Linked DNA regions of Cricetulus griseus. The protein of the gene in region 1 interacts with the protein of each later gene in a biochemical or structural test. Links are inferred from orthologs where the notes say so. Each region holds a gene or a part of one and is shown on either strand. Other genes may lie near its edges. The genes, in order: Plau and Serpina5.

The links.
Region 2: the proteins of Plau (region 1) and Serpina5 form a complex in vitro, tested with the Homo sapiens proteins (2 studies listed by BioGRID). The link is inferred for Cricetulus griseus from reciprocal best matches to the Homo sapiens genes PLAU and SERPINA5.

The regions. Positions count from the first base shown.
Region 1 is NW_023276807.1:200,133,507-200,137,322, forward strand, and holds the end of Plau (urokinase-type plasminogen activator), read right to left. Parts: intron 3,493-3,816; coding exon 3,352-3,492; intron 3,035-3,351; coding exon 2,886-3,034; intron 1,728-2,885; coding exon 1,551-1,727; 3' UTR 665-1,550; downstream 1-664. UniProt on the Homo sapiens protein: Specifically cleaves the zymogen plasminogen to form the active enzyme plasmin.
Region 2 is NC_048598.1:190,729,325-190,733,799, forward strand, and holds the start of Serpina5 (plasma serine protease inhibitor), read right to left. Parts: upstream 3,017-4,475; 5' UTR 3,014-3,016; coding exon 2,407-3,013; intron 1,502-2,406; coding exon 1,231-1,501; intron 889-1,230; coding exon 741-888; intron 1-740. UniProt on the Homo sapiens protein: Heparin-dependent serine protease inhibitor acting in body fluids and secretions. Inactivates serine proteases by binding irreversibly to their serine activation site. Involved in the regulation of intravascular and extravascular proteolytic activities.

The DNA.
Region 1 (3,816 bases):
CCACCATCTCCTGGTTTATCTTTTTTTTTTTTAAAGACTAAGACATACTCTGTAGCCAGGTTATCTTCAAACTCACTTCAGTCCTCCTGCCTCAGTCTATCCCAGGCTGGGATAACAGGCATGAGACATTATACCCACTCACACAGATATTTTCATCTTTTTTTTTTTGTAAGATTTACTTTTAATCATGTATGTCTATGAGTGCTGGTACTTACAAGCTGTCGTCAGCCACCTGAAGTGGGTGCAGGGAACCAAACTCCAGTTCTCTGCAAGAACAGCAAGCACATGTACTCTTAACTGCTAGCCATGTCTTTGGTACCCACACTTCTGTTTTGTTTGAATCAGTTTTTTCTTTTCTTTCTTGGTGGATTTTTTTTTTTTTGACAATGTCTTGCTAGGTAGCCTCACTGACCTTGAAATCACCATACAGTTCAGGCTGGCCCTGAGCCTAACATCAGTCTCTATTTAGCTTTCAGGAGCACTCAGTAAAGGCATGGACATCCATGCCTGACATGGATCGGCAGTTTTCTCTCATCCAAGCATTCTTGTCCCAAAGAGTTCAAGGATGTCCCCAATGATACTAAGATGCAGTCATCTCATTATTTCCTTCTTTTCTTGTGTCCCCACTTTCTTCTCATACAAGAATCACAGAGAAACCAGAATCTTCAGAAAAATCACATTTTATTGATCACCTTTATTCAGAATTATAAAAATAGATATAAATAAAAATAGCAGAACATAATTATTAAATATTAAGTATATTGGAATGATCCTTACCCCACCCAGTGAGGATTGGATGAACCAGGCTAATAAGTAAAAAAGATAACTGGCCAAGAAGTGGACATCTATATAAAAAGTGAAACAGACATTTAGTGCTCGTCATGGGTCATGCCTAAGAATGATACATTCACATGGCGCATCACATGGAAGACTGAGAGGCCCCAGCATCACAGTCCAGAGTTTAGGGAAATACCTAGACTTGCAGTTAGACACAGGAATATACCAGTTTTTGCTCAGGTTTACATTCACAGACAGTCTATAATATTTCCCAATCTATTTGTGGAATTCGAGAGCCGTTCCTCCAAGCCACCAGAGTCTCTACTCTTCAAACCGCCGTTCTCATATTGGACAAGCCCCCTCAAAATGCTTCAGCTGTTACACTTCCTAATTGGGAAATCATTTCTTTCCCAACAGCAGATCTCATGAATGACCCGTTAGGGGAACCAACTCTCCTCCTACACTTGCTCAGGAGACGTTTTTATAGCTTCAGATGCTTTAGTCCAGAAAAAGACAACTCCTGGTCAATATCCTGAGCCAGGACCAACTTTCCATCCTGGTCAGGGGGTCTGGGTGGCCAGCACCCAAGCCTGTGTCTGAGGGTAAAGCTACTGGCACTTACCCTGCTGGGCAGCACAAGCAAACAGTGCAGAGCCTGCCCTTCTCAACTTCTTCCCTACATTTGATAGAGAGGACCCTGCTGCAGAGGTGAAGGGCAGCATGGAAGTGAGTCAGTGGTGCATCTGTTTCTTTACTCAACCACCTGGAGGTCATCAGAAGGCTAGGCCATTTTCTTCTCCAATGTGGGCTTGAATCCAGCTCAGGAAGTATGAGACCCTCGTGTAGACACCTGGCTTGTTTTTCATTGAACATCCCCGGCCCCAGCTCACAATCCCGCTCAGAGTTGGGCGGCCATTGATGTCACAGACCAGAGGTCCTCCAGAGTCTCCCTGGGAAGTCAAAGATAAAAATAGGTGAACTCTGGGAGAAATAAGGACAGGGCCACCACCCTTCGGCCACATCTGAGGAGACCTTGGCAACTCCCTGTTTTCTACCTAATCAGGTATAAAAACTTCTACTTAGCTTCTGTCTGCTGCTGTTCAACCCTCTTCCCAGAGCCATACAGTGTGCCCAGTTTCAGTTTTGGTGCTTTCAGCTGAAGTATGCTTCTCTTCTCCTCCCAGCATTTTATTTACGACATCATATTCTCTTTAAGGCTTCTCCCCCCTTTCCTAATACCTGATCTTTTGTAATTCACAAGAACAGATCCCAAATAATGAATTGGACCATCATATTGATCTCACTTGTTCTTAGCCAAAGGCCCAGAAGTGATGTGAATAGTATCTATGTTTTGTTGTTGTTTGTTTCTGTTTTGGAGACTGGGGCAGAGTCTCATGATCCTATGCATTCCAAGCTGGCTTTGGACTCACTATATAGCTGAAGAAGCAACTTGTGAACTTCTGATTCTGATCTAATATTACAGGTGTGGATCATTACACACAGTCCTGGGGACTGGATCAGAGCTTCATTCATGCTGTGAAAGCACTCCACCAACTAAGCTATGTCCTCAGACTGTTGGTTTTTCTTATGGTCTCCATTCCCTGGGTGGAGGGTTGAACTCAGGACTTTGAGAATACTAAGCAAACTCTGTACCACTGAACTAGGCACCCATCCAGTTTTTGCTGTTGCCTTGTTTTGGTTTGGGTTTTTGTTTTATTTTATTTTATTTTATTTTATTTGAGAAAGGGTCTTGCTCTGTAGCACAGACCTTGAATTCTCTTGGGCTGGCCTTGAACTCATGATCCTTCTGTCTCAGCTTCCAAAGTGGTAGGAATGGTGAGGTTATAAATGTGTTCCATTATGTCTAGCTTTTTTTGTTTTTTGGGGTTTTTTTGCTTGTTTTTAATGCTCTCAGTCCTTTTAGTCTAAATGTGTAGCACAGGCTCATGCCAAATGTTTGAAGCTGTAAGTATTGGCATAAGCTCCCAAAGATCTAAGTCCTTGGTTCTTAGGATGTTGGCTAGAAAGAAACTCCCCAGAGCTGTCAGATCAACTCCAAGAGCTGGGGGGAGTTTGGGAGTGATAAAAGGGATGATTGGGAGTCTTACCTGGCAAGCATCTGTTTCCCACTGTGGGTCAGCAGCACACAGCATTTTATAAGTGATTTCAGAGCCATAGTAGTGGGGCTGCATACACTGTTCATGGGGAATAAGCTTCACAACAGCCATTTTCAGGTTCTTTGGGTGCATATAGTCAGCTAGATAGAGGAAATAAGTGTTTTCGTTAAAATGTGTCTATAGATGAGACTCTCTGCAAGAGTGAAGATAAAAACATATCGCGCCTGTGGAAATCCCTTATTCCTTTTTTAAAAGTTCCAATCTGAGCCTTTACTCCACCAATAATGAATGGTTCATCCATTGACTTGGTTGCCCATTGCTTCCCACTGTATCCCTGGACCTATTTGTCACCTCTATAGTGTTCCAATCTCTGTCTCCTCACTGTTCCTTTGATAGTCTGCTACATTTGCTTCTGGACCATAACTCTCCCCCAGCTTCAGCTTCAACTGTCACTTACCGACATTCTCGTATCCAAAGCCAGTGATCTCACAATCTGAACCAAAATGGACATCGCCAAGCCTTGGAGGCAGGCAGATGGTCTGTATGGACCTGGATGGCTGTGCACAATGGCCTGTGCTGGTACGTATCTTCAGCAAGGCTGGTGAAGGAAAAGGTCAAAGGGAAAAAGACTATCACTTACCAGGTCAGGTGGTGACCTGGTAATGCTACAGCACTGATGTATACTTCATGACACTAGAGTCATAGAGTATCCAAGAGCATCTGCTGGTATCTTGTCAACCAGAAGCCTCCCCTACCACATTCTCCTAATGCTTTATTTCAGCTGATGACAGATGTTCAGGCAGCCAGAGTTACCATATACATCTGAACAGATTGTTTCCTGCCAAGGGAGCTAAGCTGAAAGCCAGCCAAGGCTTTGCTCTATAAACCCTATATTCGGGTACAGACAGATGTATCCACCTAA
Region 2 (4,475 bases), on another chromosome or scaffold:
CAATAATGCAATAACCAACCTTAATTGCCTTGGAGTTCCCCGTGCTATCTTAAGTTATGTACTCTTATCAGTCTCTGATCTAGAACAATTCATGTGTGTCATTTGCTGAAAACAGCATACACAGAGACACAGACGTTGAAAGTAATCTTCTAAAAGTGGATTCACTTGTGGATATCAGTTTATAAACAATGATGTTTGATGTCTGAGGCAGTTGGAGTTAGTGACTTAATCCCTTATAAAACTCTGTTGAAGGTTTCTGCAAAGTGTACCATTCTTTCTTCTCCATGTGACACTTTATGTGCTGTTCAATAAAGACAGAGCTAAATTCACACACACACACACACACACACACACACAGAGAGAGAGAGAGAGAGAGAGGAGAGAGAGAGAGAGAGAGAGAGAGAGAGAGAGAGAGAGAAGACAGCACTCAGACAGGCACAGATTCCTCCAAGGTCAGGTGGCAAATATGGGTTCCCATTGTAAGAAGAACAAGATACAAAGGAAAGTCTGTGAATCTCTAAGGGAAAGGAATCATAATGGGATAGAAAAGAATGAACAGGATCAGAAGAGATAGAATGGGACAGATCAATACAGGACCTAATTAGATGGAATGGGGTGGGGTGGGGTGGGGTGGGATAGGAGGTGGGGTGGGATGGGGTGGGGTGGGGTGGGGTGGCATGGAATAGGATGCTAAGGCTTCTAATTTCTGAAAGCAGGTGCTCGGGAGCATCTCGACTCACCTCAGACAACTTGATATTGGGGTGGTTAGTAATGCCAGACAGGTCAGCATGGGAGGTGAAGGCGTCCCTGATGCCCAGCTTGGGGAGGATTTTCTCCAGTTGGTAGGTACCCTCAATGGAGAACTTGGGGAGGTAAAGGTTCAACTGACTGGAGAGAGTAAAAGCCATTCTTAGACACCATGAGATGCTGAGACATCCTTAACACCTCTTTCTGTGGCTTCACAGACCTTATGGAACCTTCGTCTCTGCTGGAGTGTCCCCTGATTTGTACTTAGACTTGGGCTGCCCACTCTGGTGTCACCCCAGAACCCCACTCTTCCAGGTCTTATCTCTCAAGCTAAACCAGGTCCTGGACTGAGGACATCACAGGAAGTCTTTAGGCTTTGAGGTAGCTCACTGTCTGAGGAGTCTTTCCCACCATCACCGTGTGGTCCTGGATCATGTGTAACCCCAAGCATAGGTAGAGCCCCCAGAATGACTTAGAAAATACCTCTTGGTGCCTGAGTTCAGCCAGTTCTTCAGTACTCTACTGTTCAGGCCGTTCTCCACCTGCTGCATCCTGCCTTCACTGGGGAGAATGAACAGAGCTGTGGCGTTGCCTTGGTAAGGGATCCTCACCACTGTGCAGGAAATACTTTGGTCCACGATGTGGTAGTACTCATCTTCACGGTTCATCATGGGCACCTGTATGGTCTTCTTGGGGGTCACGTGGAAATCTTTCTGTTGGGTGTTTTTGGCACTGAAGGCTGTCTCCCACTTGGCTAAAGTGAACATGGGGTAGGAGTGGAAGTACTGAGTAAGAATGAGAGACCCTTGGCTGTGCCTGAAGAGTGGATATAGTCCAGAAAGTGTTTACAGAGCCACCTCAGCAGTAGGAGCAGTCACACCTCTTGGCCTTGAAGGCCAAATCCCCTCTTGACTCTGGGCACCCTGGACCTTTTACATGCCTGTTTTCCTAAAATCTTGACATGTGAGTTGAAGGAGAATGTCCCCCACAGGCTCGTATGTTTGAATGCTTGGGCCTCTGTTTGGGGAAGGATTAGGAGGTGTAGCCTTATTGAGGGAATTCTTTGGGAAAGGATTAGGAGGTATAACCTTATTGAGGGAAGTATGACATTGAGGGTGGGCTTTGAAGTTTCAGAAGCCCACACCAGCCCAGGCTTTCTCTCTTTCTGCTGAGTGCTTGTGGATGACATGTAAAGCTCCCAATTACTGACCTAGCATCATACCTGCCTGCCTGTTACTGTGCTCCGTGTCATAATGGTCATAGACACACCCCTGAAACTGTAAGCAAGCCCCAATTAAGTGCTTTCTTTTAGAAACTACCTTGGTCATAGTGTCTCATCACAGCAATAGAAAAGTAGCTAAGACACTTGCCTTCAGAAGCCCTTGGTGCCTGTCCTCTGCCCTTTTGACCCCAACCAGGTTCATATTCCCAGATCTAGTGGGTTTGGTATCAGTACTGTTTTGCCATGATAGCCCTGATGAGGGCCAGGTGCTGCCTGGTGAATCTTTGACAGTCTTTTAAGGAGGTTCTGTCTTACATGTAGCTGCTTTCCTTCCATCCAGCTGGCACCTGGATGAGTTGTTCTTTTGTGAGGGAGGAATGCTGTCTTGCAATAAAAACAGAAATGTGAGGAAGTTCAAGTTTGAGCCAAAGACTTACCTCTGAAGAAGATGTAATTTATCAACACCATGATGTTGGTATTGTCCAAATCCTTGATCAAGTCTACAATCTTGCCCCTGGTCCGCTTGGCCACATAGTCATTGATCTGCTTCTTAGCCATTTCAGGGTTCCCAAAGTTGGTAGAGAGAGTGTCTGCCATGTACAGCGTTTTCATGGCACTCAGGAAGCTGTCCCGAATATGTACTGCTGGGTCTGCAAAAAGGGCACTGCCCAGGCTCAACTGGAGGCCATCTCTAAGCTGGCTGAACCTCTGGAGCAGCTGTTGGAAGCCCTTATGGAACTTATCCTCTTGGCCTTGCTGGAGGCTGAGTCCCAGGCTCTCCAGGATCTGTGTCTTAGTGTTGGAGCTAGTCCCCAGAGAGAGCATGCCCAAGCTCATGGACACGCTCAGGGGGGAGAAGACGACATTCTGACCAGGGGCTTCAGAAGCCAAGGCCCTGTAGAGGTCGAAGGCAAAGTCTTCGATTCTGTGAGTTAACCCAGAGGACTCCTTCACCTTCTTCTCCCAGGAGCGGGAGCGGTGGCGCTGGCGAGAGGCCACCCCGAGGCTGAGGAGCAGCAAGCACAGAATGGGGAAGAGCCTCATGGTGGCAGCAGTTCTGAATGGGAGAATAGGAAAATGTTCTCAGAGAGGGAAAAGCGGGGGAGGGGGCAAAGTGAGAGAGACAATGAGGGGGCTGACATCCTCAAAGAAAGTCTCCACTTATCTTCCGAGGGATGAGGAAGAGGCTAAGGCCTTGGGACTGCAAAGAGAAGCGGTGGTACTCAGTGCTGTCGAAAGGTCAGATGAAGCAGGCAATTGCTTAAGACAGACTTGCCGACCAGCATGCAGTGAAGTTACAAAACGTCACCATTTTTTTTTCTCATAATGTTTTAAGTAAGTTTAGGATTTTGTATTGAGCCTCATTCATAGGAGTCCTAGGCTGTAGCTTGGACAGGGATGCCTAGGGTCTGTGTTCCATCCACCCACGTCCTCAAGCCCAGCACGTCCCATAACAGCAGGTGTACTCACTCTGTAATGTGTTTGAGTGTCCCAATGGCAGTCCACCTGGCTTAGAAGAGGACAGAGGATAGACTAAATTGCAGCCTGAAATTGTCACTGATCACAGAGGCTCTGTCCCCACCCCATCCCAACTCCGCCCTATTGAGAGCTGGGCTGATCTAAGAGTTTCTCAGAGGTCCTGATAAAAGACAAAAGGGACCCAGTTCTGCTTCAGGAGTAGACTTGGCAATGCCAGTCTGAGCCTGAGGCTGGGGCCTTAAAAGAGTTGACATTTCTGTTCCAGGGACTTGGCTTTTTCCCCTGAAGAGACTGGCCTTATCAGTCCCAAGGTTGCAGTGTGCTCAGTCTATAATGATCTGGAGATACTCTGTTCCTTTGTGCGACATTGTTTGATTAGCTTCCCCCTGACTTAGTCCCATCATAGGACAGTTTCTGCTGGCTCTGTCCCATTTCTTCCCTGGAAATAGTATGTAAGATACCGCACTTTATAAGAGGCTTGCTTAACATAGGGCATAGACAAAAAGACCTCCTGATCCCAAACTTTATCTTCTCTTTATCTTCTGATCTCCTGGTCTGCTCTCTCAGGACCCTGCCACCAAAGAATCATCTGCTGGTCCAGGTCAAGTAGTGACTGAACAGGGACACCTGAATATGAGGAAAAGAGTAAGTATGGCCATAATACATCGATAATTTTTTAAAAAGTCAGGTCAGATAGATCACCTGAAGGAAGAAGTGAAAACATCGGTAGTAAAACATGGGATAGCAAAATTCTTAAGGCCCTTAGGGTGGTTTGAAAGAAAATGGCCCCCAAAGGGAGTGGCACTATTAAGAGGTGTGGTCTTGTTGGGGTAGGTGTGGTCTTTCTGGAGTAGGTGTGGCCTTGTTGGAGTGGGTGTGGTCTTTCTGGAGTAGGTGTGGCCTTGTTGGAGGAAGTGTGTCACTGTGGGGTGGGCTTTGAGGTCTCCTATGATCAAGCTATGTCAAGTGTCACAGTTCACTTCCTGTTGCCTGTGGATTAAGATGTAGAACTTTCCGGTCCTTCTCC